2 linked regions of the Caenorhabditis elegans genome follow. The protein of the gene in region 1 purifies or fractionates together with the protein of each later gene. This does not show direct contact. Each region holds a gene or a part of one and is shown on either strand. Other genes may lie near its edges.

Region 1 (15,752 bases):
TTGCAGATTTTGTTCAAATTGTGGAAAGAAAATGTTTTAGTTGGTTGGCTAGGGAGCAAATGGATTACCCTAAAAATTAATTCAGATAAAGAAATGATGTAGCAAAATTATCTTTTACTCCTTAAATTCAATTTACATGAACCCAAAAAACATTCAATTTTTTTTAAACTGAAATTCAAAATGTTTAAGAAAAGTGCTAAATTTCTTTAATTATCCTAATTTGTAAGTGGCTGAACACTAATTGTAACTTATGTATCCCATCTTATTGTTTGATTTCAGGCGCCAAAATGCTCGCCGCGCCAGCCGTGCGACCTCTGCTTGCCTATAGTGCAGCGCGGAACCCGAAAGGTGTCGGCTGCGGCGAAAAACCATTTTCCGCACTACGCGGTTCATCTGCTGCAATACTTGGAAGCGATTTTTAATCTAATAATAAATAATAATTGAAAAAAAACTAAAATCCGTAACTCTTTCTTTGAATAAAACATTTATGCATATGCATACCATATTCAAAATTAACATTTGTGGGCTTTGGATCTGATCAACAACAACTCTGATCACATCTTATTTTCCTCTTTCTCCCACACGTTTTTCCTGTCACAAACAATTGCCGGCTGATTCAAAAGAGCTGGCACTTTACATTGTAACACGAATGACATCATTTGGAACACCAAGGGTCACTCGGGGCATCTGCTTCGCTTCTCTTCTTTTTCCATTTTTTTTTTGAAATTGGTTGTTGTTGATCGAGATGCGATGGTTTCGGGAAATACTGATAGCAGTTTGCAAAGAAAAAAAATTATTTGATGACACGTTATCATATCAAATTGGGAATTGGCAAATAGCCAACCAATTTGGTTTCCAAATTAATTACTTGATAAGATTGGTTCCAATGTGAAGGTTAGGTTTTTGATAATTGGTGACGTTGGTGTTTTCGGCTGAATACTCAGAAAGGGATTTTTCAAGGAACAAAAATGAGCCTCAGAGTTATTTAAAATTTCACATCATGTTCTTTTGTCGCATAGTAGAAAAAAAATGTCAAAACAAAAGTTCAATGTCTGAAACATCTTTGTTGTTTTCAGTTTTTAGTTTAAAGTCCACTGCATTGACGTTTTGTTTTTACATAAATTTCTAAAAACAATTTTGATGTCAAATTACAATATTAAAGTTTGAAATTGGGGAAATTTGAATGTGCATGTGATAAATTAAATTTGAAGGAAATTGTTTTTGAGGACCTAGGAATGATAAACGAACTGATGATAGTATTCTGGGATTGCAAAATTTCAAAGGAAAACTTGAAAAAGCTGTAAAGAAAATATGATTTTTTGTAGCTTTAGCCTTTGATTTTTTTTAAAGCATTAAAGCAAAGGTTTCAGTTCGATTAGAAAAAGTTTCATATTCCATGTAAATCCGTCAAAAAAAAGTTCATTTCCAGCGAATACTAATAGTCAAATTTTCAATTCATAACCATTCACCACGATCGTAATTTAGTTCACGATTCAGTTTTTAAATGAATTATTTCAAAAAGTTACTTTAAACTAGACTCGTACAAAAAAATGAACAAAAAAATGAGTTAGAAAAAGTCGAGCTTACACCTTTTCAGTGCAAATTCGAGGCCTGTAACACTGTTCAAAAATTGTAAATTTGCAAATTTTTGATAATTTCAAGGATGCGAATACGCGCTAAAAACTGAAAATACTAAAAAAAAATTTGGGAATTTTAATTTTGAAAAAACAAAAATCGTTTTTTCACCAATCGAAAATTAGTCAAGACTGTCAAGACTAACTTTCGATTGGTGAAAAAACGATTTTTGTTTTTTCAAAATTAAAATTCCCAAATTTTTTTTTAGTATTTTCAGTTTTTAGCGCGTATTCGCATCCTTGAAATTATCAAAAATTTGCAAATTTACAATTTTTGAACAGTGTTACCCTTTTTTTCCAGGCCTGCAATATTTGTTTAGTAAATTTGCCATTTTTTGGGTAAATTAAATACCTATATAAATTGAAAATATAAATTTACAAAATTTGAATTTTTCAATATTTCAATACTTGTTAAGTTTTCTGCAAAAAAAGTCTCTTTCCCAAATTTATATGGCCTTTGAAAAATAGTAGTGCAGTCTCTAATAGTCTTGCACCCTAACGGACCAATTGAAAATTAGTCTTGCATGCAAGACTGATAGAGAAAATACGGTATATGGAATATTTTCTGACACTTTTTTAATGAAAGGCTATCGTAAATGGGAAACGTTTTCAGACATGTAGTACGTGAGATAAGGTGGCTGAAAGTGGTATAATTTTTATAACCGTGCAAAAAACTTTCTAAAATTGTTTTTTTTTGTTTATAAACACGTTCTTTTTTATTCAGTTTCAGACAATGCTTTCTGTATTTTTTAACTCAAAGAAAACTACATAAATTTTTGAATTCAATGGTAAAGTCGGGAACTGTAATCTGAATCTTAAAATCCCAAGCAATTGCATCATATCCATATTTTTCGAGTAGTAGTTATGACCTGAACTAGCAGTATTCAATTGAAACTTTATTTCATCTCCACTTCCTCAATGACGTCATCTGCAAAAAAGACCACCGTGCTTCTTTTTTCGACAACACCCCATCAATACCTCATTATAATTCATTGTAATAAACATGACGTCATGTTAAACCGAGGCGCTCTCTCGGCGTTCCATTATCCCTCAGTGGTCAGATTGTTTGCTGTGAATGGACGGCACTCATTAATGCAAATGAACGACGACGGGATAGGCCAAAGGGCGACGGAAACAATGACGTCAAGTCCAGCTGTGCATAGTCTTTGTGTCACCACGAGAAACGCAAGCATCTATCATTATGTATCCAAAAATCTGATGACATCGTGATCCATAAAAAAAAACAACTAAACAACGGAAAATTTGAAAATTAAAAAAGGGGTCCATTTTTTTTCAGGAATTTTTTTCAAATACCTAACCCTGGCGGAAATCTGCAATAAAAATTAGAATTTTAGTAAATCCTTTTTATGAATATAGCACCCAGGGATTATAGTAACCGGAATGGTAGTTTTTTAGTTTTGAGCTTGAATGGTTTTTTCGTTCTTTTCAGATATGAAGGCCAGTACAGAAATTACATTTTTACAAAAAAATTAGAAAAAATAACTGTCAATTTGATTAGTTAGACTCAAAAGGTGTCAGTTATTTAGCTCTTCCACTTACATTTTGAAAGTTGGTCAAAATATTTTTAGTACTTACTTCAAGGGTTTTGTTGCTAAATCTGTGTTGTATTATTGAAAATTGTTCGTTTTAAACACTTTCAGCAGTTTTCCCTATTGCTTAAAAATAGTAAATTCAATTCAAAATGACAAAATGACAAGCATTCGCTTCGGAGTTCTCATCAGCGGCGAAATTATTCCAAATGAAATCCCGCCCAATTGTGCAATATTTCGACTTTCCCGCAAAAGCCACAATGATGAAAGCATCATCCGCAAAAGTAACTGTTCAAATAGTTTTTAGATACCGTATATTCTCTATTAGAGCGGCATGCCGCACTAATTTCCGGGCCCTTCGCGATGTGCGCTCTATTAGAGACTGCCGTTCTACTGGAGACTGCCGCACTAATTTTCGATAACTAATTTTCATTTTGAGGTTACTACTTTTGAGAGTAGTAACCTTAAAATTCCTTAATAAAACCTTATATTTTATGGTAAAATTCATGAAAATTGTGTAATTTTGCCTCATAAAGACACTAAAATTCAATATTTTAATGGAAATTTATGAATTCATTCAAAAATGAACAAAAATACCATCGAAGAAATCGAATAATTGAGGTGGCTCTCGCAACCAAGATAGGGGGTGCCGCACTAATAGAGACTGCCGCTCTAATTTTCGAAAGGCAAGTTAGGGTGCCGCTCTAATAGAGAATATACGGTATGTTCTTTTTTTCTAGTTATAATACATATAACAAAAAACATCGAAAATGTGTTAAAACAAAGATCAGAAGATGTCTGTTGTTTTTGTTTTCCAGCAGAATTTGGGCAAGAAGTACGATTTCAAAATTTTTGAGATTTTAATTTTTTATCAGAAAATATAAAAACTTTTATTTCTATTTTATATAATATTATTCAACAGTAAAATAGCGATACTTGTTATGGGTTTAAATGATTGGAAAAAAAACCAAAAAATTTAGTTTTTTTTTCAATATCAATCTAGTTTGCATACTTTTCTTCTACATTTTGAGTTTTAACACTGGGTTGAACTCAATTTTAATGTTTTCCACTTAATCCATTTTGTCTAATTTTTTTCGAAGATTAATAAGCACTTCAGACATACATATCAAACTGCGTGATTAGCCAGTTACTGGGTAAGAAATAATATCGGTGTCTAGAACACTTGGAATGAGCAAATGTAGTTCTTTGATGGTTACGAAGTGAGCAACTTACAGCTCAAACATCATCAGGTTAGAGAGTATTGCAAAAGAGAATATATGGACTTTGGCGTCGCGCCATTCCAGAAAATCTCCTGCCTCAACTATTGCCAATTTTCCAACATCATCGTGCATAAATACTAGAGAAGTCTTCAGTAGAATTAATAATTTTTCGAAGCAAGTTTTTAGTTTTTCTCGATCTCCAATTTCCTGGTATGCCAAATGTTGTTTAATTCTTTAAACATTGCGTCTAATTTGAATTCAGTTCCGCGTTGGCGTTTTTGGTTCTCTACATGAATCGAATCATCAAAAACAACTATTCCACTGACACTCTAATTCGAATTCCACCGGTTTCTGAAAAAAAGAGTGTTCCTCTATTTCCCCTCTTTCGTGAATCAGTTGTAAAAATCTAGTCAGTTATCACATTACCAAAGTTTTCGAAAATACGAATCATATTCAAATTATGACTTTAGGAATGAGCCGAATGACTTGTTTGATGACTTTAAAAAATATGGTATTAAAAGAATGGGATTTAAATTGCCTTAAATCCCATTCTGCCAACTTGCCTATGTCCATGTTTAAAAAAAAACCAGCTTAGTTATAAATTTCAAGCCACCATTGAAAACTTTTTTGACTACTTCGAAATGTTTTTTTTTAGGGTTTCCTATTAAGACTTATTCTCATTGTTCAAAAAGTTGTTTTTATTTGACGCAAACCTTCAAAGTTTAAAACATGCAAAATATAATACAACACAAAAATAGGTACTTGTAACTTGAAATAATATTTCAATATTCCTTACAGCAAATTCTAGTTTCTAGCATAAAACACCTGTTGCCGGAAAAAAATCAGCACGAGTTTTTGATAGAGCACATTTTTTTCAGAATTAGTTTTTCAGAACATTCCTGATGTTTGAAGTTAGTTGCCATTTTTCAAAATTTATTCTGTTTTCTATGACAAAATAGTAATCGAGATTTTTTTCCGAATAAAAAAAGTGTCTCATGCATGAAACATATTCCCCATATATTTTTATTCTTTTCCCTGCGATAAACTTTTATCCGTAATGTGCATTTTGGTTGTCTCCCCTATGCGAACTTTATAATCTGATATTCAAAAAGTTTGTTATTACCGGGTTCCAGTTTTTAATATATTTTTTTATTTTTATTTATTTTTTTTTTAATATTTTTTTTTTTTAATATAACTATATGTTTTCATTTAGCTTTTAATAACAAAAAAAATTCAATAAGTGTACGAAAATTTAAACCAGGCCGCAAATAATTAGTTCCCTGGAAAAATAACTTTTTGGATTACATAGTAAATCAGAAGCTGATCGAGAACGAAAATGACTTCCAGGCGGCTGATCTTGAAAAGGAATTGTTCATCTGGAAGATGGACAAAAAGAACTTTAACATTTCTAGTTGTTTGTGCTCTATGTAGTTGTTTTCAGAAAAGGTCAAGGGCACTGAGGCGGGAGTTCTCAAAATTTTCAATCGTCCTTAGGACTTGCTTTTGAAAAGTCATCAAAAGTTCGAAAGATTGAATAATTTAGTAGAAAATCTTAGAGTATAGTAAATTATCGCATTTTTCGTAAGCAGTAGATCATTGTTATTATCACGGCTTGAAATACTCCTTTCTAATTGTTGTGCCTAAATTTTGAAAAAAGTTTGCAAATATGTAGCAAAAACATCTACCGAATTGATCTATTCTGGGAACTTATTTTGGCGGCATTGTTTTATGTCAAAACCTTGTCTTTTTTTAAATACCGTCAGATTTTGAAGAATTTCTCTTGCTCACATTTTTAGGCTAAATTAGGATTTAAAAACAGTTTCTGTTCGATGTTTGAAATAAACAATCCCAAACGACATGGTTTCAAAAAAAAAACATGAATCATTTTGTGATAATCCAACTTTGTAGTTTCAAGTCGAGATTCGTGCTTATCCGAGTCTCAAACTGAGTGGAGCCGCAGTGTATTCAGTGTGATCTCTGGATTGACGGCATGATTTTGTTAGTTTTGTTTCTTGCTTTTATAAAACTTTCTATTTTTTGAACAAATTGCAGGTTTCATGGTTTTGTAATATTTTCTTTAAAAAATATTACATACGAATAGAAACAAAATAATGTTTTCTGAAAAAAAAATTTTATCTTCATTTTCCAACTTTTTATTTATACTGTAGAAGAAACTACGTAAAAATCGAAAACAAGTACGTCACTGTACATACTGTGTTGTTGAACTGAAATTTTCATGTCTGTGGGAAAAAAAAACTGTCCCAAACATTTTTTCTGGTGTATGCAAGACTTCCCTGTAAAACATATACACGTTTTCCTCCGTGCCTACCCCATGCCTACCTACCTATTTCTAGACTGTTTGCCAGATTGCATAAATACATATCTACCTTCATTTTCCGTTCAATCTTTACATGCCTGTAAAATCATGATAACTTCATTATTCGCTCACATTTCATTTAACAATCCTATTTATTGAGTTTTTTTTTTGATAAAAATCTAAAACTAACCTGAAAAAAAAAAACAGTCATCAAAACTCAAAAGTTTGTTTCTCAATTTTTCCTATTTCCAACAACAAAACTGTTTGGCAATCTTTATTCTTTAATGTTGTGGTTTGTCAAGAACACAAAAGGCTTGTGATTTCTTTGAAACCTTGACATCATCACTAACAATAAACAACCAACTGGATTAGTTCCTTTACTTTCAATATATGATCTTCTCAGAAACTGATCTTGTTCTATGTATTATTTTTTGATTTTCATTCTCCATTTTCCCATTTCTTTTTGCTTCCCGGTTGTCTCATCATCATTTTTTTTAACTACCATATATGTTTTCACATAAAACTGAAAAAGTTATCATTCTCTGTCACACAATTCTGACACGATGATTTTTCATCAGCAGACAGTACTGAAATTTCTGCACAATATGTCCACTTGTTATTCGCTTTTTTTTTGCTGTGTTACACGCGTTGTTCGATTTCATTGTGTTTTTCAGCGCGTGATGTGTTCTTCGGTCTTAAATATATTTTATTCGTTTTTTTTAGTCCAGTCGCCATTGTATTGCGCGGTTTCTGAACAATACCCCAAAAATGAACTCTTCTATTTTTACTTGTTTGTAAAAGCATTGAACTTTAAGGCACTAGTTCCTTGTTGTGTCAAATTCACTTTGGGGTTAGTCTTTCTTCTTATTGTTTTTATAGTAAATTCCAGTACTTCGTCAGATTATGTGTTTCTGTTCAGTTTCTTCCAAACTTTTCTTATCACAAATTTTCCAACTATGTCTATGGCATTCACTGGGTTTATTATCTATCTGAAAAAAATCAAACTACGTTTAATATAGGTAAATGTTAAGTGCTTGTATGTATACAACGAGTTAACAATTTTAAATATTCAACACGACCTTTAATTTAAGTTATGTTCTTCTACTTCTTCACGTTTGGCAGCTCGTGTTGTTGTTCTCTTGTTTTTTGTCAAAAAAAATTTCGCGGGGCAGATAGCTCAGTCGGTAATGGTGGCCGCTAGCAATCTGGAGGTCACGAGTTCAAGTCCGACCTCACCCCCTAGGTTCACCCAGCCTTTGTTGGGAAGTGTAGCAATACAAGGCTGGCCCCCGGCTAGGACGGTGCTTAAATTATAGCCCAGTGGGAGCACCACCAGGCAGTTTACCTGACAGATCCGCAGTGCATAGCACTCGAAGAACGGATCGTCTTTTAATTTATTAAAATTTAATTTTGCTAAACACCTATTGTATTTTTAAATATATCCTTCGCTCTTCCAGTCTAGCTGTTAAGTAGCGAAACAGTCGAAAAGGTGCTTATTAAATATGGTGTAACTAAAAACATCGGAGAGACATGTTTAGGTAAATTATTTTATGTAAATTTATGCATTTAAGATTGTACATGAATAAGTTGACAAAAACTTTTTGAAAACTTTTTCCTTTAAATACCAAGTCTGGTGCAGACCATATACTGCGTTGCGAATTATGTATGTACTCTGATAATTATGTAGTTCATTTGCTCGAGTTCATGAGAACTTTGGAGATATTTTCATAAATATTTTTTGAATCGTCGTCATCTTTCTCCCCACCGATCTTCGATTTCAACATTGTGATGCCAAGTCACGCCTATTTTTTGTCATTAGAGTGAACCTTCTTGTTTTTCTAGGGCTAAGTCGCTCGAGGGAGGAACTTCTTCTTCTTCTTCTTCATTTTTCGCTGTCAACAATATGAAGGTGGATGGAGAGGCGAGAAAAGAAATTGACTCGAAACCACATTACGTGTGTGATGCGCGTCTCCTTTTTTCAGAGTTCTTTCTCAGTCGCCCGCCAAACCAGGAACAAAAATTTTCGGTCGCGACTGGCGGCCAACGCGCCCGCTTCGCCCCGCCGCTCACAATCGCAACACGGCAAACGCCGAGGTGGGCAGAGAAAAGAAAAGACGCCATTTCGAAAAAGGGGGCGCTCCCTTTGGATCCCCCACATCCACACAGACAAAATAGTCTCAAGTGAGAGAGAGTGAGAGAGAAAGAAAGCGAGTAAGGGATGAAAGAGAATTGGCGTCCCATGTTTTCTCTGACTCTCTCTATCATCATCTCTCGCTCTATTTTTTTGTTCATATTTTTTTCTCTTTTTCCCCACGTTTACCACGAGGAGCGGGCATTCATTGCGGCGCGGTTGCGTCGCGTCCACTCCTCTTTAAGAAAAAAAGGAGACAAGAAAAAGCTCAACAAAATGGGAGATGAAAAAGAAGCGCGCACACACGTATAAACATACACACTAATGATAGACAGTAGAAGTAAGAGTAAGGATCTCTGTATGTGTGAGTGTGTGTGTCGCGCTCTCGGCCCTTTCGGCCCTGTTGTGCTCAAATATTTGCTCCCGTTCCTCGCGTTTTCTTTACTTTCTTAAACTTGCAATACCCAATGCTCCGAATTTTACCAATATTTTTTTTTCGAGAACAATTGAATGGTCCATTCTCTTTGTTGTAGATCAAACAGTAGTAGCCATTCCTTCCTTTTTTATTTATTTTTTTTCTGTCCGTCAGAACTCATTTTCTTTTTCTCAATTTTTTCTCCATTTCAATCAAATTATTATAATGTCTGGTCATCATTACCTTCACTTCACATTTCTTCTCCAACATTACAGTTCCTGGTTGTCCTTTGCTGTTCTAATTCTGTCAAGTGATGTACTTAGACAATGTTCTTCAAACCTCATTTCTCAAAAATACATGGGTTTGTCCCTTTTTTCATTTTTATTTGAATCATCAACTTTTAAATTATTCTGACTTCATTCTCTAATTTTCAATTTCTAAAGCAGATGCTGAGATCAAACTTCAATTAAAAGATTTTTATTTCGCTACATATGTGCTCTCAAAGATTACTCTTTTTACAGCTTCAATATTACTTTATGTATCGTTTCAAATTGATAAAAATGCATTTTTCTTTAAATCTGTGCAATTTGTTGGCAACAAAATCTTGAAAAATCGATTTTTTGACTTGACCCCATTTTATAGTTCAACCGGCAGAGATATCAAATCTCAATCGATTTTCTTTTTTTTCCCTAGACTTTTCCAGCATTTGTTTTTACACTCTTCCTTGTCTATTCTACATGTTTTCCAAAATTACGTCGTTTGTTTTCAGCCATGGCAACCGTTGCCCCCAAGGGAAACTGCCTTGTCGCTCGGGCGATACCGTCCGATAGCCACGCCGACCAGCTCACCGATCTGTTGTGCAAACTGTCCGTCAATGGTGACGCGAACCAAAAAAGTGTCAATAAGGTAGGCGATCATACGTCCACTACTACAGTAATCCGTTTGTTTTGCTTTTCAGTTCGAATCGCAGCACGGCGTAACCCCATCGGATTTCCGTGACATTCAAAACATCAGATCATCTGCTTTGGCGAAGAAGACAAAAACTTCCAAATTCCAGCTTGACGGGGTGACTCTGTTCGCTGATCTCACTCCAAACAGCAAGTCTAAAAAGGTATATGGCCGAGCAATATGAGTGACAAAAATGATGTAGTTGATGTAGTACTGACTCATTTATTTTTTCTTCGAACTCTGTAGCTCTCACTTTTCACGTAGACAAGTGCACACGACATTTGCATCACATCAAATGCAGATGTTTCATTTTCATTTCTCAGCACGACATTCACGTGATGAATTTTTCAATGCCACATAGAAATGAGCAATTATTATTAATGAAGCTTTTCCGTTTCAGAAGACTGAAAACCAGGAAACCAAAGAAAAAGATGAAGAAGCCGAGGAAAAGAAAGATGGACCGCCAAAAGATGACAAAGAGCTCAAGATGAAAAAAGAAAAAGAGCAGGAAGATGAAAACGCGGAACTCGACGAACAGAAAAAAGATGGCGATCTTTTAGGCAGAGGCCCAGTGCACAATGTTCGTGTTGCCACAGGAGGAAGTCATCCATATCACAGAGGTTAGAGATGTGGGGAAAAAATAATTGGAAAATCATAGGAACGCATAAAAATAATTTCATTTTCGTGATATGAAAATTATGGGGGGGGGGGGCACATTTTTTTCCAGCACAGCGTAACAGAGCGTTTCGTGCTTAGATCGCCGAGTTTTTTAGAAATCTGTGCTCTGATAGCAAACTAGAACTATTCATCCCTCAATTCATTTCTCACTCTTATGACATCTTCAGGTTATTTGATTTATTTTTTGAAAGTGATTTGTTCCAAGTTTAAAACTCCATCTAAATTCATTTGCAAACTATTTTCGAGTTAATGTAAAAAATAATGCAAAAATGATGTACTGAAAAGTTTTGGTCAGAAATTTTTAGCACATTTATCTGGCATTTATTCATCTACAACTAAAAGTGGAGTAGCGACATTGGAGATTTTATCTAAAACTATTTATAATAACACAAGTAAATATCAAAATATTGGAAACCATTCAAATTTCAAAAACTTTGTAAATGACGGAACTTACTAAATCGAAGGTTGTTTTTTTAAATAAAAAAACATAATATAATTTTGCACGTTTGAACCCTTCCAATATTAAAAAATAATTCGTATTATCAAAATATATAAACTGACATATGAAACGTGGCTTATTTTTTTATTTTGTTTTTTATTTAAGCTCCTTCCATTCCTGACCTTTCGTTGAAATTTTAATTTATTAGTTCATTAAAAAAAAGGGGAGGAGCTTAAATAAAAAACAAAATAAAAAATAAGCCACGTTTCACATGTCAGTTTATATGTACATTTTGATAATAGGATTCCTTTTTTAAGAATTGCCACTTTTGACTGTAAGTTTATTTTTTGAAAGTTTTGAAAAGGTTACCTTGTCAAGCTTAGAAGTGAATTCGGAAAGTTTTCACTGGCGCTACTCCACTTTTAATGATATTTTACCATTTGCACGTGGTGTCAGAATGTCTCATTTCGGCTTGATCTACTTAGATCTACAAAAAATGCGCGAGCAGAGATGCAGAGTTCTCAACTGATTTAGCATGGTTAAGAACGTGCAGATGTCACATTTTTTTGGACAAAAAATTCCCGCATTTTTTGTAGATCAAACCGTAATGGGACAGCCTGGCACTACGTGCATTTGGAGTAGATCAATTTAATTGTTATGTTTAGTTTTTAGCGTTCAGCCTTTAGTTTAACAACATTCATACTAACATTACTCGAATGATTAGGGTATCTATAATCACTTTGCATTTAAAAATATGAAATAAAAACTATGATGTTAACGGCCTCTCTAACAAATTGATTTTCAGCCCAAATACCTTATGGATGCGCCGCACAAACACCTATCACCGACATTTCAGCATACACTGGCTACGGTAGCGGCTATGAATGCGGAAGCACTTGGTCGCTAAGCCCAGACACCACGATTGGGTACGAATTAATTACCTTTTCCTTTCGTTTATTTTTCATGTTAAAAGGGGTAAAAAAGGGCGATGATGACATGAATCGTCAGCTATTCACCCTTGCTAGTTGAACAGATATTTGACACGTTTTGTTTGATAAGGAACCTCACATCTTTCAGGTCGATATCCGCGTCGACAACTCCTGACACTGTGTTGTCATCTGATGGATACGGATCAGCATCTCCGCCTCAACACAGTCCAAAAGAATCGTTGCAGAGTCCGTTTTCCGACATCTCGTCTGCTGGTAGGTTTTCTGAATAGGCACACATTTTGTGGTGATCACACTAAATACAAATGGGCGAGAGGTCAAACACCTTAACGGGGGGTAGTAAATGGTGTTCACCCACGCGGCCGTAGTTGGTGAAAACGTGTAGGCACTGTGTTTCGATGGTCACGTACGGAACACTGATACGACGGCGGCTTGCGATGTTTGTACGTTTCTGATAGATGATAAAAGTGAACGCTTCATATCATTTGTAGTTTTTGTGCAAGTTTTGACACCTAAATCTTTTAAATTTTGAATTTTTTTTAGTTGCCTTGTTACAGTTTGATCCAAAAAATTTTAAGTTTATCCAATTTTTAGTGTGATAAAAACTTGGAGCCAGGCGAACTTAAATCCAACACCCCATGCCTCTGATGTCTAATCTTGACATCAAATTAGAACATAAGACTTAGGTACTCTAATTTTTAGCTTTAACACTATTAGCAACCAATTTCCAGCTCAGCTACTCTCTTTGAGTCAAGCTTGATTTTCCATCTAAATCAGCTTATATTAGGGCGGCAAATAAGTTTTGACGTATTTCGTCAATTTACGGTTTTCCTTAAATTTTATATGGGTGACTTATAGTAGGCAGTGGGTATATACAAGCTTATTAGTTTCAGCTATTTCAGCCTGCATCTTGGTACTTTGATCTGAAAAAATTCAAAATTTTTTCGAAATTTTTTTTTGCGATTTTTTGGGTTAGGCGTTGAGTTTCGATGTTAATATCTAAATCAATTAAGTTTTGTTTGTAGATTACAAAAAGTGAATCCCGACTCAATTGGTCCACACCCAAAACTTTTATAGCGAATCAAAGTCAAAAAGTAAAGTGCACTAAAAATTTGTATTTTTTCAGATTCAATCTTTTCTTGAAATTTCAAACTAAAAAGTGGATACGTTTATCCAAACAATTCATTTCATTACAATTCTGGTCAGATCCAGACTCCTTTGGGGATTTATGAGTTTCAACTTTTGAGTGATCTGCGATGTTCAGAAGACCTTTAGGCTATTTTCCAAATTATATTTTTACAAAAAAGCAACTCTGCCTACTATAAGTCACCCATATAAAATTTAAGGAAAACCGTAATTTGACGAAATACGTCAAAACTTATTTGCCGCCCTAATACATATGTAGAAAAACTCCTTATATATTCTGAGTAACAGTCCCAAAATTTTAGTACCAGACGAACTCCCAGGCATCATAGCTAAAGAGAAAACATCAAGGGTGTTCATATTTTAAATGCGACCTTTTGATTTTCCGATTGTTTGATTATTGTTTTGATTACAATTATTAGTTTTAGCGAAACGTATCTCTCAAAAATATTCATATTCTCCGCCACTTTTCCCCTGTTCCGAAGTGTTCCGTTGGTCGAACACACAACGTTTTCCCGGAATATGTGTAGTCCGATATTATAAAAATTACAATCTTCTAGATACTTCGCGCGTCCTGACCCCGGAGAATAACGAGTTGCCGGAGAGTCTGCAGGATTTCATCCTGCAATACTCGAACCAGTACACCAAAGAGGAGAGCATCCGAGGACGTCCACCATCTGCAGATTCTGGGGTGTCGTCTCCGATGTCGGCTCGTTCAGCTCCATATGCATCACCACACGTGCCACAAGGAACCTGCAGGTAACCAATTTCTAGACGAGTCATTGTGCATAGTGAAACTAGTAATTAAATACTTACGTTGGTAGGCTACTATTTGGGAGATAAGAGAAGTGACTTGGGTGGCCAGTGGCCACCATGACAACAAGCTTCACTGTGATTATATATGTATTAGTTGAAATTTGATGTTTTGAGTGGCAAAACTAGCATCTTTTTTTTAATTTATCAACATCATGGTTTTGTTTTTTCAGAAGTTTTTATACAATAGGCTATATTATTCTCGAACTGCAAATATTTGAGTATGAGTTACAGAATAAAACATGTTTAGATATAGAAATCGCTAGTAAGTTTAGGTAAATGGATGTTAAAGTCAGTTCAATGAGCGTTCCTTCTGCTTTTTGCTCGCTTAGTTTTATCAGATATTATTGCAATATCGCAGAATTGAAGTTTTTCAATCAAAGGTTTCAAAGGCCTTGGCATGGATTGAACTCAACTTAACGTATTCTACTAAGTACTCATATATCAGTATAGCTTCCAAGTTGGCTGAAATATGCCTACCTGAGTGCCTATAGAGTAGGCCAGTAGGCATATTTGTAAAGGTTTTCGTTCATTAAATTTAGTTATTGGAATAAAAATTCTAATATAGGCGGTTCGGCGAAAAACCGGGGGTATTTTTTTCTTGTTACCAAAAGCTTTCCAAACAATAGTCAGACTATTTTTTGTTGCGTTTGATAAATTGATCATCCATAAAGTTCAATAACCATAAACCAGGAGCATGTAGCTTTAGACTCCAATAAATAAATGTTTTCCTTACTTTGAATTTTTCATTCGACAGTCTCCGCAGATAACATTTTCAATTTTCTTAATGTGTAAAAGATCAAAATTGATCGATCAACGTCCGAGAAAAAATTTGCGTTTTTGTTGCAAAAGCTGATTACGGTAGACGTGGGGGGCCCTATCACGACAATGATCGCCATCCGCGGAAGTGCGCCGATCCCCCCCAAGTCTTCTCCCCTCCGGGTAAGACGACGGATAAGATGGAAATTAGCGGCTTCGCTTCTCGGGCTGTCCCCATAGTCACTTTTGCCCATCGAAAATAGTGTTTCTCGAGGTCGAATCGAACCGTGTTATTTCTGCACTACAGGGCCGTCGCCGGCGTTTTTTACTTCCTGGTTGTATTCTTATTCAGTTCTATCCACCTTGGCCACTTGCACCCCACGCCATTTCGTCGCCACCTTTTTTATTAATCTCAATATTCCTTGCAAAATCCGAATAATTTAGGGAGAAACAAAATCTAGCAGGTAGACGTTCTACTCTTGCTCTATGCTAAATGAGTGGTACCCAAGAAGGTTCGTTTCATTGTTGATAGATAACAGTTCACACATTTTGCTGAACATGTCATCCGATATTACAACTTTTTGCTAGATATGAAACGAAAAACGAAAGAAAAACGAAAACCGGTACCTGTTAAGTTCCGCGTCTAGTTCAGAAGATTTTGATATTTGCGTTGAGAAATAGACAGCTTTGAAATCACGGAACACCTTTTCCTTACTCGATGTCTTATCATCACCACTTCTAGTCAAATCAATGAACTT
Region 2 (15,752 bases), about 13 Mb from region 1:
AAAAAAAAACAATGTTTTTTGAAAATTTGTACTATGATAAGTGATTTTCAAGGCATCATATAAGTAATTTTTAACCGTTTTCCTGGCGCTACTCCACCTTTAAACATGTATTAAGAAATTTCTACTCATCATAAACCATATTTGTTCCCGTTTTCGTTCTTCTAAACTCATCCAAACCGACGTCTTCCATTCATTTTTCTATGTTTACTCAATGAAGGAAGCCGAATTCTCAACCGGTAATTATGAAACTTTCTTGACACTTTCGATTCCTTACTTTATTTCTAAGTCTCATGGGGTATTCCAAGATTTTATCTTTTGTCAGCTGCTTGTCGATTTGCAAACTCAGTTCTAATTGTTCATCAAAAGCCTCTTTGCAATTTGCATTTAAATTTTCTTTGACTTTCGTACTCGATTTTCTTGATTTTTGGAACTCACAAAACCTTTTTCAAAAAAATATATTTGTGATCTACCTGCTGGATGCTTTCTATGGTAGTTGTTTCTTTTTGCGGTCTGTTTTGTCGGGTAGATCAAATGCTTGGTTTTTGAAAAAAAACTGAAAAAATTTCTTGAGGGTGTAAAATGCAAAAAAATTAATTCCCGTCCATTGAACTACATTGACAAATGTGAGGAATGTGCTAAAAATCCTTAATTTCCAATTTCTATTTTCCTTCAAAACTGACAACTTGAAAATGCATAAAATCATTAGATCATTTAATTTTTGGACGGGCCTACACTTCAGTAGTCAGCAAAATATCTTAAACAACTATTTTGGGGTGGCCAGTTTAGTTGAAAATAAAATAAAAAAAGTTAACAGATCTTGTAGAAACTTAAAGCTTGCAATACTGTAGATTTTAAATTAGAACAAAGAAAATAAATATTTTAAAAATGGTTTTTTTTGTAATTCAAACCTATTTTTCAATTTAAAAAGTTAAGAAGCGTTGGGGGTTTTTGAAGAAATTTAAAAGTACTTTCAAGTTTTACTAACATTTGACCGAGTAGACACTGATTCTTGGCGCTATGTTCAAACCTGTTTGTTCTACATACGATGTCGATGATTCAGGTGTTCTTTTGAATAATCGAATGGCATTGGCTCCTTTGTGAGCCTTTTTTGTATGCACCTCTTTTACTCTACACGAGACCGCGTCTAAGTCCCATGTTCCCAAATATAAGCTCATACTCGTCATGGCTTTCTTTTCTTCTTCACCGCCCGCAATCATTCATCGGTTTGAGTTTTTGGGCTTTTGGCATTCGAAACACGGATGGGATCGAAACCGAACTAGGGTTGAGGGCAGCAGCTGCCGACACAGACACCACCAAAGAATTTCGGATGAAATGTTTGTGCAAATCGCAAAACAATCGGTTTTTTTCCGGACAGCGCCCCCTCTCTTTCTCACAGAGCCTTTTCTCGCTTGTTGTTCCGCGCGCGCTCTGCCGAATTGGGTCTCTGAGGCCTAGGCGCTTGCGTCAAAACGGAAACATGCAACCATGCATTTTTGACATCCGACTGTTGTTTGTACCACCTTTTGTGCAACAACTGCTTACTTTCGCGCACACTTTGCGCTTCCGCCTACACATTTATGAACAGACAACCAAAAACTATCCGTTTTCGTTGCAGCAGAAAAATTATCACAAACGGCGTGGTTTTTTTGATTAATTACTTTCTTTCTGGTATTCCCAGTGTTGATAAGATGTCTGTTAACACCTTTCGTTTGGTTGGTTTTTTTTCAAAAAAAAAAGTTAGACGTTTTATTTTGTCATATTTCATACAGTTCAGTATATAACCGTATTTTCCATATTATTAGGGGTACACATAAGTTCCGGGTCAAAATTTATAACTTGTTTTGCTACGTTTTTTTTTTAAATTTATTTGTTTATTATTGGTTTTTGTAAAAATGCAAAAACTTATGTTATCAACTATGATTTTTCGTTTGACAGTAGTTTCAAAAACTTTTGACCCCTACTCGGACCTACTATTTTCAGGCTTTTACCCAATATTGCGCTTGAACAATATTGCGCTTGCGGATTTTAGTAAAACTTTTTTTAAAAAACCGTTTAATTTTTTGTACGTCGTCAAAAATTTTTCAAATTTTTTTCCCAGAAATTCTTGACTTTTTAATACAAAAATTATGATTCTTTTTACAGTTTGAAACTTTATTCTTGATAAATTCCCAAAAAAAAAACTCAAAAGTTTCCCAAAAATTTTTTTCTCGTTTTAAAGCTTAAAATAAACGCAAAAGCCTGAAAAAAAGTGGATTCGAAATCCGAAAAGTTCATTAAACTCCCGTCAAATGGAAGGTCCTAGTTTATACCATAAATTTTCACAATTTGAAAAAATCTATACAGAGCTACAAAATTTATGCATTTTTTAGGCTCGGGACTTATTTGGCCTCCTAACAGATTGAAGCAATAAATCACCAACTTGCTTCAAATTACCAAACATAATGTAGCATTTTCCTGGTGGCCAACGTTCTCATAGAATACAAAAAACATTTGCAACCCGATGAGACTAGCATTATACAATTTCTCATTTTATTCTCCAATTTACGTCGTTGGTGTTGTGAAACTTCACTTTTTTGCTTCAATAGTCCAAATTATAATGTGGAAAAAAAAATATATAGCTGTTTTTTTTTTGAAAAATCGTGTTATGATAGGATAAATAATAATAATAAGCAGGAAAAACACATCTCTGCTTCTCTAGCTTTTTCGACATTCATATTTTCACTGAGCTAATCCTTCGTTTCTTCTTTTCCATAATTCCCTTTTCCACTCATGTTTTGAGTTGTCTTCGTTCAAAGGTATGAGAGCAAGCAATGAGCAGCAAAAAGTGGTTTACATGTGAACTAAAAATGTTCATTAGTGCTGTTTTAATGCTCTTCTTTTCATTATAGTTTCGGAAAGTGTTTTAACATGTTTTGTGCTTTTCTTTTTGTTTTTTTGTTTTTCAGACATTTCTGAGATGTTTTACAATCATTTTAAAAAATTATGCTCAAGAAAAGTTTCAATTGTACCGTCAGACTTCGAAACAAGTCATGTGTTATTTGAAAGTGTACCATAAAAATATGCCACTTTCTACTCTCAACCTCTCAAAATTTAAATCTTAAAATGTTTCAGGGCATTTTTTCACTACTTTGGAGGCTTCTAGAATTGCTCCAAATGCTTTTTACAAACTTGAAATGTTTTTCGGAACGTTTGCAAGTTGGTGAGTACTCTTGGAGACTTTAGATTTTTTTTTCATTTCATTGGCTCCAAAAATTTTCAGACATAAACAAAAATTAAAATTTTCCAAAAATCTCTCAGAGTGTTGTTTACCAACTTTTAAACGCTCTGAAAAACAAAGTTTGCAAAAAAAATAACATGTGGAGCAATTCTACAAGGCTCCAAGGTAGTGCAAAAATGCAGTGAAACAATTTTAGATCAAAATTTTTAGGGTAGAGAGTAGAGCTTTGCCCCCCCCCCCCCCCCCATTCTTTTAGCTTATTGGATATTACTGACAATTATCAAATACGTTTTGTTTTGTTTTGAAAATCACATGGACTTACATTTTTCACAATAATTTTTGGAGCATCAGTGGAAATTTAACACGATATCTAAAAATTAATCTCAATTTATTTTTAGAGTTGTACAAAACATTCACTGCAAATTACCAAGAAATCGGTTATATTTTTCAATTCGATGCCTCCCAGTTCTATGATTAATGAGTAACCAAGTCACATTGGCTGTGGCTTTGTCACGAGATTCTGGTGGTCCTCTGGCTATAAAAAAAGGAAGGCAAATTAATTCTGAAAACAGAACTGATGCCACCACAAGTTTGCAAGCCGAAATTGCGAAATATAGGCATCGGATTCCAATTCCTCCCAATGTTTTCGTTTGAATTTCCTCTTTCGTTTTCAAGCCATTTCTCCCTTTTCTTTCGGTGACTCGAAAAAAGAGTAGTGTGTCCGTAATGTTGCTCTTTTGGGCACCCCCTTCTTGGAGCATTCGGCCCGGTTTCTTCACTGAATGAGGGGGGAGAGACATGGAAAAAGAGCTTCTCGTCGCCGGGGTACACCAACAAAGAGTGCTCTTCCTTTTTGCCGTTACGCCTCTTAATTATTCGACGGCTTCTTTCCCTTGAGCTTCCAACTCATCAGTGCTTTTTCATGATACTTGTGTGGGCTTTTAATAAGTATTTGTATACTCAAATATGTCCTATACTCGATAGCTTTCAATCTCTGATAGTTTCCTGCTTCCTAGTGAGTTTGGGAAGTCGTTGTCGTTGTCATGCATCAGATGTTATTTTTTATTTTTGTTCAGTGCCTGAGCACGTCTTGAGCAGAAAAAAACGGTCATTCATTTTGGTGTTGCCTCTGGCATTTGCTGTCTTCATCCTCATCTTCTTGACACTTGATATTTCCTTTTTTCTTTGGTTTTTCCTTTCATTTCATTTCATGGAATTCTCATCTAAACTGCGTGGCTTCTGTTTACTCTTCTTTTCCCATCCATCAGAAACGCTTAAGCGTTTTTATTTTAATTCTCAAATTTCACACTTTATTTTTTATTTATCACGCTATCAAAAATGTAAAACTTTTTATTCAAACATAAAGTATACTTTGATAATTTATTGGCACCACAATAATTAAAAATCCTAGTGAAAAAATTTGTAAAACAGCTTTCAAAATTTTTTTTAACACAAATAATTAACACTTTTTGCCAGTTTATATAAAATTGAAAAAAAAAACATTGAAAAGTTGTACTATGGCATTTTGGCACCATAGATGTAGTTGAAAACACTTTTCCCAAAACTGTACCACTTCAAGTTCTTGATAGTTTCAAAAAGTAACTAATTAACTAAAACAAGAGCACTCACTACATAAAGGCCGGAAAATGACGACCGACAGTGATTGCTAGTAGGATATAAATTATGAATTCAAAAAAAAAGATTCGTTTTTTTTTTGGCCGAAGGTATTAGAAGAATCCAATCAAATCGGCCCCAACTTTTTTCTGTACTGCAATAACCCCGGCCGATGGAATTATACAAGTTCACATCAATATCGAATCAATCACTATGCATAGTTATCGGATGTGTTCACGTTAAGATATTTATATAGAATAAGTCTTTTTTTTATTATGTAAACGTGATTTCAATTTTTTTTTTCATTCTATAATTTTGGTTTAAATAATAGAAATTGGGCCCAAATGACCGAATAAAATTGTAAAAAAAATAATAAAATTTATTAATTGTTTTTTTAATGATTTTTCAATTTTGCAAAAACTAAAGAAAGGAACGAATTAAAATGAAACTCCCGCAGAAGTGAGTGACGTCATTTTTTTATATTTTCGGGTTATCTAGCTAAATTTATAGGTAATTTTTTATTTTTCTCATATATTTGGTTTAAAACCCCAGTTGTCATTTTTTCAGACATTTTTACGTGAAGAAACCTTGCAAATTTATAATCAAATGTAGAATAAAAAATAAATTTTTTAAACCAATAACTTTAGCCAAAAATATTAAAAATGACGTCATTAATTTGGAATTCAATTTTACAATTGAAAATATCATTAAAGAGTTATGAATAATTGAAAATTTTATAAATTTTTCACAGTTATATTTCAAAAAGACTCTACTCTACGATTAAAATATAATTTCTGCTTTAAATTATCTCAATAGCCAATTTATTTGTATGTGTGTCCGTTACATTTTCTTTTCTCAAACTAGTATTCCACACACACAACGATTCCTAACCCCAGTGTCTTCTCATTTTGCTCCTATTGATGAATTAATCCAATCAGTCACGCGCAAATGTCACTCACACATGCCCTTTGATGAACAGAAGCAAAGCGTTCAGAGCATCTGCCCTTTCAACTTGCGCTCTCATTTACTGCCGACGTTGAAAAAAAAACGAGCACCGAGGAGTCTTGGAATTGAGTTTAAACGCTTTCCTGAACGTTTTTTTCTTGCTTAACTTGATACATTGTACTCTACATTTTTCTGACTTTATAGTTCATCTTTCCAACTTTCAGGAGAGTGGAGGGCCTCACGAATCGAGTGTTTGAAATGCAGGCGGCTCCGTCCTGCTACGGCAGCATGGTTGCTAGCACATCAGAAGAAGTCACAACATCCACATTATCGCGGGGACCAATGACCATGTGAGTTTGTGAAGTTTTCGAAGACATCGCCGCGTAATCATGTGAAACTATCTCTCTAATCTAAGGAGCCCAAAAATCACTCAAAATTTGTTTATGTGCAGTCTCTACTAGAAAAAAAAACCGATCTTGATGCACATTTTGACCGGCTCAAAATACATACACATTGTGTTTTTCCACCAACCCACACACTTCCACACCAAAATCTCCAGGGACATCACGTCTCGGGCAAAGTTCGGTTTTGGAAAAATGCTACAAAAAAGTTAGTGGCGGAAGTTGAACCTTTATATTTGCAACCAGCTACGTCTCTAAAAAATTTTTAAATTATGAGTACTCCGCCTGGCAATTCAACAATGTGGGTATACAATTTGTGAACACAAAAATTTCCCGAGTAGAATGTTTTTCATTTTTCTGCACATTTTATTACGTAACTTCAATTTCACATTTATTTGCACAAGCCTGATCCGTAGAAGGAGCAGTGAGCCTGAAAAATGAGAGTGATTGACAGAAAGATAGATTGGTTTTGAGTCGGCTCAATGCTTTGTACTGAAGTTTTTTAGTATCACATTTTGATGAAATGCTACTAAATGAGAATTTAATTTTGAATATGGTAAGGTTTCTGGTGTAAGGTTTGTGTTCTCAAATTAACGAATTTCTTTATAGAACCTCACACAAAATTGTAAAAAAATTCTTTGAACATAATTGGCTATTTTTAGCAATTTCAAAAATTTGCCAATTTGCCAAAACTTTGACAGAAAATTTCAAAAAGGAGAGGAGTAGTGCCAGTTAGGACAATGTTTAAAACTGCCCTATGGAGTCAAAATAAAATTAATTTTATAATAAAGCTGTTCACAAAGTTTTCGGAATTTTTTTTATTTTGTGTCAAAAAGTGACAATTCCTCAGTTTTTCCTAATCATAATTTTGGAAATCAACAAAAAAAATATTTTTTCTAAGACTTTTTACTTCAATTTTGTTTCAATTATTCGTGTTCTAGTAGTGCGACATTGCTTTAAACTTTCATAAAAGCTCGTTTTTTTTCAAAAAATTTGGTAAATTGCCAAAACTCTGACTAAAAATTTAAAAAAAAAACGTAAAATTTTTTGGAGTGTTTTATTAGAGTATTTAAACGTTCTGGATCATAATAAGTGTGTACATTTTAGGCGCTACTCCACTTTAAAAAATATTTTCGGTGTTTCTTCTCAACTTTGTGAAATTTTTCTGAATCGTGCCAAAACATACTTTCGATTTTTTTCACATTTCATTTGAATTTAATGCTAGAATATGAGAATTTTTCTCAGCAAACTATTTTCATTTGAAAAAAAAACGCGTTCCAAAGGAAGTTAGTTTCCCAGACTACGGAAATTGGCAAGAAACAGAGTCATTCTTCATCTCCGCCGTCCGTTTCCACTTCAACGTTACGTCTGGCAAAAGTGCGAACATCTTTTATTGAAAAACCTCATGAATAAATCTGAAACATGTTCATAACCGATTCTGTCACCTGTTGAGACCCTCCTAGTTGTCGAACAACAACCAATTACCGGCTAAACACAATTTTCTAAAAAAGGGGGTTAACGTTTGAGGCTAACAGAAATAAGTCTATTGACCAAGTAAAATCATTTTGCTATGCATAAATAACTAATTTTACAGGTCTGTATCAAAATCTAACAGTCAATTTATTGAGGCTCCTGCTTTTTTCTACGATATGGACACTGATTTGAAGGATTTGAAAGTGAGTTTAATTTTACTCGTAGTAACATTTATTTTATTCATTCATTCATATTGAACGCGTTACACTTGTTCCTTGTTAGTACACTCCACAGATTTTTATTTCTTGTTTGTATATAATTTTATTTTTGAAAATATTTTTTTGAAACCATTTTTAATAGAAATTGGCAATTGACAATATTTCAAAAAATAAACGGAAACTGTTTAAATTTCTAAAATTTTTGAATTAAAGTTATGGTCGAACATTTTAATAAATTTATTTCCTGACAAAATGCCCTTTTTTTTTAGCTCAAACTTCCACGTTTTAGTAATGCCTTAAAACAATAATCGGTCGCACAAACTATGAAAAAATCATGTCAAAATTAACCTTTTTTTCCAATTTTCAAAAAATAATTTTGTTTGAAACTTACCGAAATCAATTGCCAAAAATGTTTGAAACTATTGGAAAATTTAAATATAATTTTCATTATAATTTTCTCTCTCTCATTTTCAATTTCACAAAAAAAAAAAATTAATGAAATCGATTGAAATTTAAAAGTTGGGTTGTTTGGAAAATTAGCTTTAAATAATAGAAAATGGCCCGTAATGGGCGAATACTTTTGTTAACTTCATAATTCATAATTTCATAATTTGTTATTCAAAAATGTGTTTACCAGACCGCACTAAAAGACGTGGATTTACTAAACGACTCTGGCTACCGATCGGTAATGGAACGATCCACTCATCCATTTGCGACGAGTCTAGTTTTCCACGAAGACAATGGCTTCGATTCTGAAGACGACGCAACGGACGAGCATTGGGGTTGGTTTGAGCGGGTAGACTTGTGTGTGTGTGTCTGTGTAGTAGTTTTCGCAAATTGCGCAACTTAACGTATCGTAAAATAATGACAGAAGCGGCCGTACTCGTCCGGGTGACCAATCATCCGCTCTACGAATAGGTTATGGACAAAATAGGCGCGAATATATATATAGTACGGTATTTTGCGGGATTTCGATGCACGATCTAACTTTCTATAGTGCCCGTATTATACAACTGGCCAGGCTGGCTTGGCCCACCGCGCGGGTAAAGTTGGCCGCAATAGTCACTTTCGGTTGCTTCATTCATATTCTACCTTCGCGATTACTTTAGTAGATTTCTATATTTGGTACATGGTACCTCCTTTATTAGCATGGAGAAATTGGAGGAAACAAGGTTACAAGATTTCCACAATTTAAAAAAAACTTAAATTTTGCAGATGGGTATCTCACAGTGGGAGGTGACCGAATTAAAATTCGCGACATGTCCGACATCCTGGCGACTAGATACGCTTTCATTTCTGGTGAGTGCACATGCTCAATTTTAGAGGACAGACGTAAAAAGGGCTATAAAATGTGGCGAGAAATGCTACTAAATTCCTTGAGAACCCGGCACAGCCCAACTACCAACTCATACATTTGCAATATGTCCGGCATTCTTTTTTCGCTTTTTTTTTACTTATAACACCTTTTTTAAGGAGCTCGCACCACTGAAGGATTGACAATTGTAACGTTTCCGGACTCTAGATCGACGCTTCCTTTTGAAGACTACTCACTTCTTGTGAAGTATCTTTTGCAAGTTCCTCCGTGAGTTGCTTTTTTTGGGGAAAATTGTTTTAAAATGTCAAGTTTGTGCTTAAACTTTCAATGGCCTATTTTAAACTAAAAAATGTGAATTTCGAGCTCAAAGGAATCCTAGGTTCGGTCCACAAAAAAACATTGATTTAAATTTTTAAATTTCGATAACTATTTTTTTTATTTTCACGGAGGAATTTTATGTTTAAAAATATTTATTAAAAATACAATACATAACAGAGTAAAAATTTGAATGATCAAGTTTTAGAGATTTCTCGTCGATTTTAACGAACTTTTTACAGATTTTTTAAAGTTTACTATCAAAAAGTGACAATTACTCAGTTTTTGCCACTATAATTTTGGAAGTCGACAAAAAAATTTTTAGATTTTTATGCATTAATTTTGTTCAAATTATTTTCGTTGTAACAACCTGAGTATCGCAACATATCAAATTGGCAATTTTTCAAAACTTTGACTAACAAAATTCAAAAAATCAAACAATTGTTGGAGTTGTTTTATTATAAGTGCATTTAAAAAGATCTGTAGCACCAGAAAATTTTTTAAATCTAAATTCTTGTAAAAAATAAAATAAAAAACAAAAACTATAGATTTTTCTGAATAAAACTAATATTTTCAGCCTGGAGGACAGCCACAAGGGTTTTGTGATAATAATCGATCGCCGGAGTGACAAGTGGTCTTCCGTACGGACTTTACTACTTCAGATTTCTGTAAGATTTATACACTTTCTTCTGAAAATCTAGCCGTTGTGGTTTCACGCGGCGCGTTTTCAGTTTAGTCGTGAACACCTATAAATCTCTTTTGTCGTGTTCAAAAATTTCACTTTCACAGTGTTTTCGTTTGCTAGAACACCTCGTTATTGCTGCTGCCACACCACACCAAGTGTGTCCACTTTCTCAGATCTGTTGACACAGTCGGCACTCGATTTGCCAATGATTTTTCGATGCATTTCGGTTTCACTTTAATGTTTACGTGAGAGACGCCTGGAGAATGTCACCGGGCATGCGCGAGCTAAGGTATCATGCAGAGACCGGATATCTTCAGTGCTCCACGCTGCTTCATGTTTACAATGCGCACTGATTTTGATGATGGGTTGAGTATCACTTTACTTCGCAGACACCCCCCTCCACTTGCGGTCATTTTTTATGATTGTTTTATATGTACGGTGCTGGCCGAAAAATTATATTTCTTTTAGTATTGTGATAGTTTTTTTTTTGAAATGACTATAATTCCAAAACTAGAAATGCTTTCAGAAAATTTTAAACTAACAAAATCTTGCATAAAAATAAAACGGCCGACATCTGGCGAGACCACTTTTGCCGGTGGTTGCAAATTTACATTTTACATGGGAATTTTATGAAAACAAATTGATCTTCTTAAAATTTTTTTTTATTTTTAACACTCGTTAATTTTTTTAAATACGCGCCCATTTTGAGCACATTTCTCATAAGTCGTGAATAATTTTTTTTGAACTGTTTTTGATTAAAATATTGTTGAAATAGAATCCTTACCATCTCTTTCATCATATCTTTACAAAACATATAATCAAAAAATGTTCGAATGTGGTTATTCAAGTAGTGCCGGAAAATTGAAAGTGTTAAAAAATGACGTCACAACTGTATTAAAATACATAAAAACATGTATTCATGTATTTCAATACAGTTGTGACGTCATAAATGTATTTAAATAGATTTTGCAACATTACTTGAATAACCCCATAAGTAACCTGATTTCAGAATATACATAATCTACACAGCATAGCGGTTTCAAATAAAGCTAATAAATACAATTCATAAAAAATAATGTGAACATACTTCTATTTGGTTTTTAAGTTACAGTGGTTTTAGTAATCATCATCAAAAACAAACTCGTAAGATGTCGGCCGCTTTATTGTTTTCGTGATGATAATAAATAATTCAAGTGTGTGAAAACAAATAGACAAAGTTATGGGCATTATCTTGTCGGCTAAAAATTGTTCGAGATTGCATTTCTAGGTTCGGAGTTATACCCATTTGAAAAATTAATCAAATGAATAAAATAGATACTCAAGGCGATATATACGGTTTTTTAACAAAAATTAAATAAACTGCAATATTGTAGGAGCTTTTTTTTTTCAAAAAAATCAATTTTTTAAAGGATTTCCCTTTTTCCTGGCAGTTCATTCAATCATCATTGTTTTGCATTGACTTGTATACATTAAACCATAATGACGCAAGGACCACCCTTGCTAGTACTTCCGGTGTTTTGAAACCGGAGCTTTGTCGTCTTTGAAATCCACTTCATCTTTGAAGACATCCGTACATTTTCTTTTCTCGAAATTTTTTGAAAATACTTTCATGCACTAAGTGCTTACTACAGCCGTCGAATATTTTTTATGCATGAAATTTCTTTAAACATTTCGAATTCCGGCGGCCGCTTTTTTGTTGGCTCCTGCAAGCCGCCACCTTTCACCTTTCTTTTGCACTTTAACCCGGTCGACCACCCATCAAACTGTCAATTATTCATTCAAGCAGAGCAACTTTCGATATAACTGGTAGTTGAATATCCTGGTTTTTGCACAAAATGCCCCGTGCGCCTAGAGTTGGCCTTCTTGCTTCCTATCAAAAAAAAAAAAAGACGCGCTTGTGTCGATCCCTAACGTAATTAGGACTCGCGTTGCTTTAGCTTAGTTTTGAAGACGAAAATAAATTGGAAAAAAGAGAGTGCAAAAACTGAGAATCTTTCTTCTTATGTTTCCTGGTTGTAAAAACCAGCAGCAGTTTCCTGTCTTTCCGCAGATGTGTTTGGTTCTGTTTTCAATACTTTTTACTTTTATGTATAATTTTTGCAGTCATTCTTCCCTGGAAAAATCTGTGTGACGTTTGTTATCAAGCCGGAAGGCGTTCTACAGCGTGCTCTTGAAGTTGGGTATCGTGGAGCAGCCGACACTTGCTCATTTCAGGTTTGAAGATTTTTCACGTTTTCCTCATTTGAAATTATATGATTTTTAATCGACTTAATATATGTACATAGTTTTCATGATTAACGTTGTATAGTGCAAAGCGCATTGGAATGGAAACTATGCATGTTAATTGAAAGATATAGGAAGAAATGGAAAGTCGGCAAAAACGAAAGTGGGGAGATTGAACTTCCGTAGTTTTGTTTAATTTGTGAGAGCAAGAAATAGGTAATATAGATTACTTTAACTCATTTTAACTCACCTATTTCTTAACTAAACTTTTCAAAAGCTGAAATTGCATACCTTTTCTGACAATCATTTTATATGGTTTGATACCTTTTTTATTTTTTTTGTTCCAGTTATTAAGAAAGCAGGCCTCCTAGAACCCTAGCCATATTTTTTATTTTGAAAAAAAAACTATATTCATTATTTCTAAAATTAGTTGGAAATTATTGAACTTGCCAAAATAAATTTAGCAGAATATAAATAGCAACATGTGAACAAAACAAAATAATTTACTGGAAAACAGCATTTGGATTATTTTGCATCAAAGTTGAAATACAATGTACATTTTTTCAACAACATTGATACTGCGTTTTTGTTCAAGTAAGCGCCTATTGTGCCAAAATGATCCAAAAATATCATAGTAAGACTTCTCAAACATTTTTTAAAAATTTTTAAATGGCAGTCGAAAAGTGGCAAATACTGAGCTTCTGCCACTTTTTGAAAAATCTAAGGCACAATCCCTAAAATGTTTGAACATTTTTATTTAAAACATGAGTACCATAAAGTTCAAAGTAAAAAAGTTTTTTAATCGTCAACTTTCAAATAAAGTGGCAAAAACTGAGATTTTTTCAATTTTCAAAAAATAATAGAAAATTTGGAAATTTGTTCTTGAATTTTTAAACTATGATAATTGGTCATTGTGGTGTGATAGGTCTGTTTCAAAGCAACTACCATACTGGCGGTACACCACCTATAAATTTTTTTCTCGATGTAAGTAATCTAGGTAGGTTTTCTATAATAAAACCTCACATATATTAATTTTCTGTTTGAAAGTTTGAAATTTCACAAATAATGACAATTTCTAAAAATTAAAATATTCCACGTTATAGAAATTTTCGGTTTTGCGATTTGTGAAAAAAAAAAGTTGATTCCCAAAAAAGTTGTTTTTTCCGCTCAAAATCAAAAAATTTTAACACTTTCAGACTAGTTTGATAATTATAATTCAAATGGTAACATTTACAGGTGATCCAACTCGAATCGTCGGCCGAACTTCGGAAATACATTCATCACGAGTTTTTGACAATGGATGTCGGTGGCCTTATCAAGTATAACCACTTGGAATGGGTGCAGCACAGAATGGTAAGGTGTTTTCTGTTTATGAATGATTACCTTCCCTTCATTCCTTTGTGAAACGGCGGCGGCTAAAACTAAAAGAATTAAAAAAAGAAGAAGAAGATCTATGTATAAGAAGCCCGTCGACAGGTGAGGTGCGAATTGGACAAGGTGTGGCGTGCCCAGGTGACCAGTCCTTTCCCCCCTCTCTCATCAATTGACGGCGTATGCCACCACCATTTCCTCTTCACCGAAACCTTGCCTTGTCCACCTCACCTCTCATAAGGTCCTTTTGCCGTGTGTCGTCCAGTGCACAATGAGCTCATACGCACACATGCATTCGCATTAAATCTCGGCAGCAGAGGAGGGCGTTCACTTATTCACTACCTTTCCGCGCCATATTTCCATACCTCAAGTGTTCTGGTATTCACGTCGGCCGGGGCCGGTGTCCTCAGCAATTTTGGGGTGTGTACCCGTCTACTACTTTGTACTTCTTTGTTCCCCCGATATTCTTAGCATTTCGTCGACATCATCTCGTAAACATCAAAATTGTACTAACGGGGCTGTGCTCTTTTTCTCCTCTCAAGGCCAGCCGCCCATCCGCCCCCCTAAAATCAGTTGACCATAGCAACTAAGCATTGTGAGCGGGGCCCAGCCATTTCATATTTTTCACCAGTGCGATCCCAACCTGGAAATGCTACGCTCATTTCAAGGATATTGGAATTCTTATTCCACTCTGGTCAACGAAAAAGACTATACAAATGTAAGTGCAACTGAAAACAATCAAGGAAATGGAAAAAGTGCCTTCTTTCTTTCAAGTGCAGATATAATTGGCGGCGCGTCTTCTTTCTTCAGTTTTCCACGCTCCCAACCCTTTATTGTTTTCAGGACATTGAACGAATGAAAGCGTCTGCAACAGCCATCGCTGCTTCTCTTACCGAATTCGGAAAAACCTTGCGAGAAACTGAACTACCTAATGATGCGGACAGTACAGCACGGATATTGGAGCTTCAGACTGCCGAAAAGATGGCTATTAAGGTTAGCTTCAGGGGTGCTGCTGTTCGGCAATTTGAGCTTGTTCGGCAATTGTCTGAATTGCCGAAATTGCCGGAACTTCTATAACCCGGCAATTGCAAAAACTACCGATTGCCGGAACTGTAATTTTGTATACTTTTGTAAATTTAGGCGCCTAGGAATGCATTTTATTTAGAAAAAATACACTTTTCATTCTCAAAATGTTGTCAAACTCGAAGGTTTAAACATTTTTGTTTGAAAAAAAGTTCAATCAAATACTTTAAAAAGGTGAAATTTTTGTAATTTTTTTTGAAATACAGTTTTGGGAGTTGCCAAAAAGGTGCGGCAATCGGCAATTTCGGCAATTTTGCCGATTTCCCGAACAATATCCCACATCTGCTTCACATTCAGTAACATAATTTCAACCATTTCTTGTTTTTCAACCGCAACTTTTATTACTCAAAAATACTATCTGTTAGAAATCTCATAACAAGTAAAAAAAAAACGTAAAAACCCGCAGCTGGCATGCAGTGTGCTTGACAGGAAACCCTGCTGCGCAAATAAACGATTAGAAAATTATCGAAATTCCATTTCTGTTTATTCATCTCTTTAGACAAAACAGGCCAAAAAAAATTATCTGAAGGAGCTGTTTGTATTTATGATTAATGAGCCAGTGGCAAGCGCAAGCGCATGTAATTTACAGGAAGAATTCAAAATTGCTGTCCGAAAGGGCTTCACCTTGCTCAAGTCCGTCAGGCAGCTGGATAAGAAGCCGACACCTGAACAACTATCGCCGACTCGGCTCCATAATGTGACGGCAATTGAGCGAATGCTGGTTCAATTGGGTACGTACTTAATGAGTGATGTCATTAGTAGATCGTAAAATTGAGAATAAGGAAATCGAGCGGATGAGATAAGAGGCAAAAGTTCTGGCAAGGAAGCAAGAAAATTTTGAGGGAAAAATTACATAGTTTTTAGGAAATGTTGAGAGAAAAGTAAGGGGAAT

What was found.
Region 2: the proteins of nfki-1 (region 1) and cgef-1 fractionate together in Caenorhabditis elegans (co-fractionation; one large-scale study listed by BioGRID). This does not show direct contact.

What each region holds. Positions count from the first base shown.
Region 1 is NC_003284.9:15,345,202-15,360,953, forward strand, and holds the start of nfki-1 (ANK repeat-containing protein nipk-1), read left to right. Parts: upstream 1-10,036; 5' UTR 10,037-10,038; coding exon 10,039-10,173; intron 10,174-10,225; coding exon 10,226-10,378; intron 10,379-10,615; coding exon 10,616-10,835; intron 10,836-12,137; coding exon 12,138-12,258; intron 12,259-12,409; coding exon 12,410-12,534; intron 12,535-13,982; coding exon 13,983-14,181; intron 14,182-15,259; exon of another isoform or gene 15,260-15,350; intron 15,351-15,752. UniProt on the Caenorhabditis elegans protein: Acts downstream of the receptor complex composed of ilcr-1 and ilcr-2, which is a signaling complex that modulates neuronal activity and animal behavior in response to sensory neuron input. Mediates signaling of the complex.
Region 2 is NC_003284.9:2,766,044-2,781,795, forward strand, and holds the start of cgef-1 (DH domain-containing protein), read left to right. Parts: upstream 1-5,998; 5' UTR 5,999-6,034; coding exon 6,035-6,126; intron 6,127-6,149; exon of another isoform or gene 6,150-6,261; intron 6,262-7,771; coding exon 7,772-7,853; intron 7,854-8,505; coding exon 8,506-8,650; intron 8,651-8,780; exon of another isoform or gene 8,781-8,958; intron 8,959-9,083; coding exon 9,084-9,167; intron 9,168-9,341; coding exon 9,342-9,450; intron 9,451-10,075; coding exon 10,076-10,166; intron 10,167-11,961; exon of another isoform or gene 11,962-12,239; intron 12,240-12,286; coding exon 12,287-12,397; intron 12,398-13,642; coding exon 13,643-13,759; intron 13,760-13,856; exon of another isoform or gene 13,857-14,042; intron 14,043-14,620; coding exon 14,621-14,770; intron 14,771-15,449; coding exon 15,450-15,591; intron 15,592-15,752. Other genes in the region: F55F1.2 (Transmembrane protein 72), read right to left, coding at 3,565-3,587, 3,645-4,017.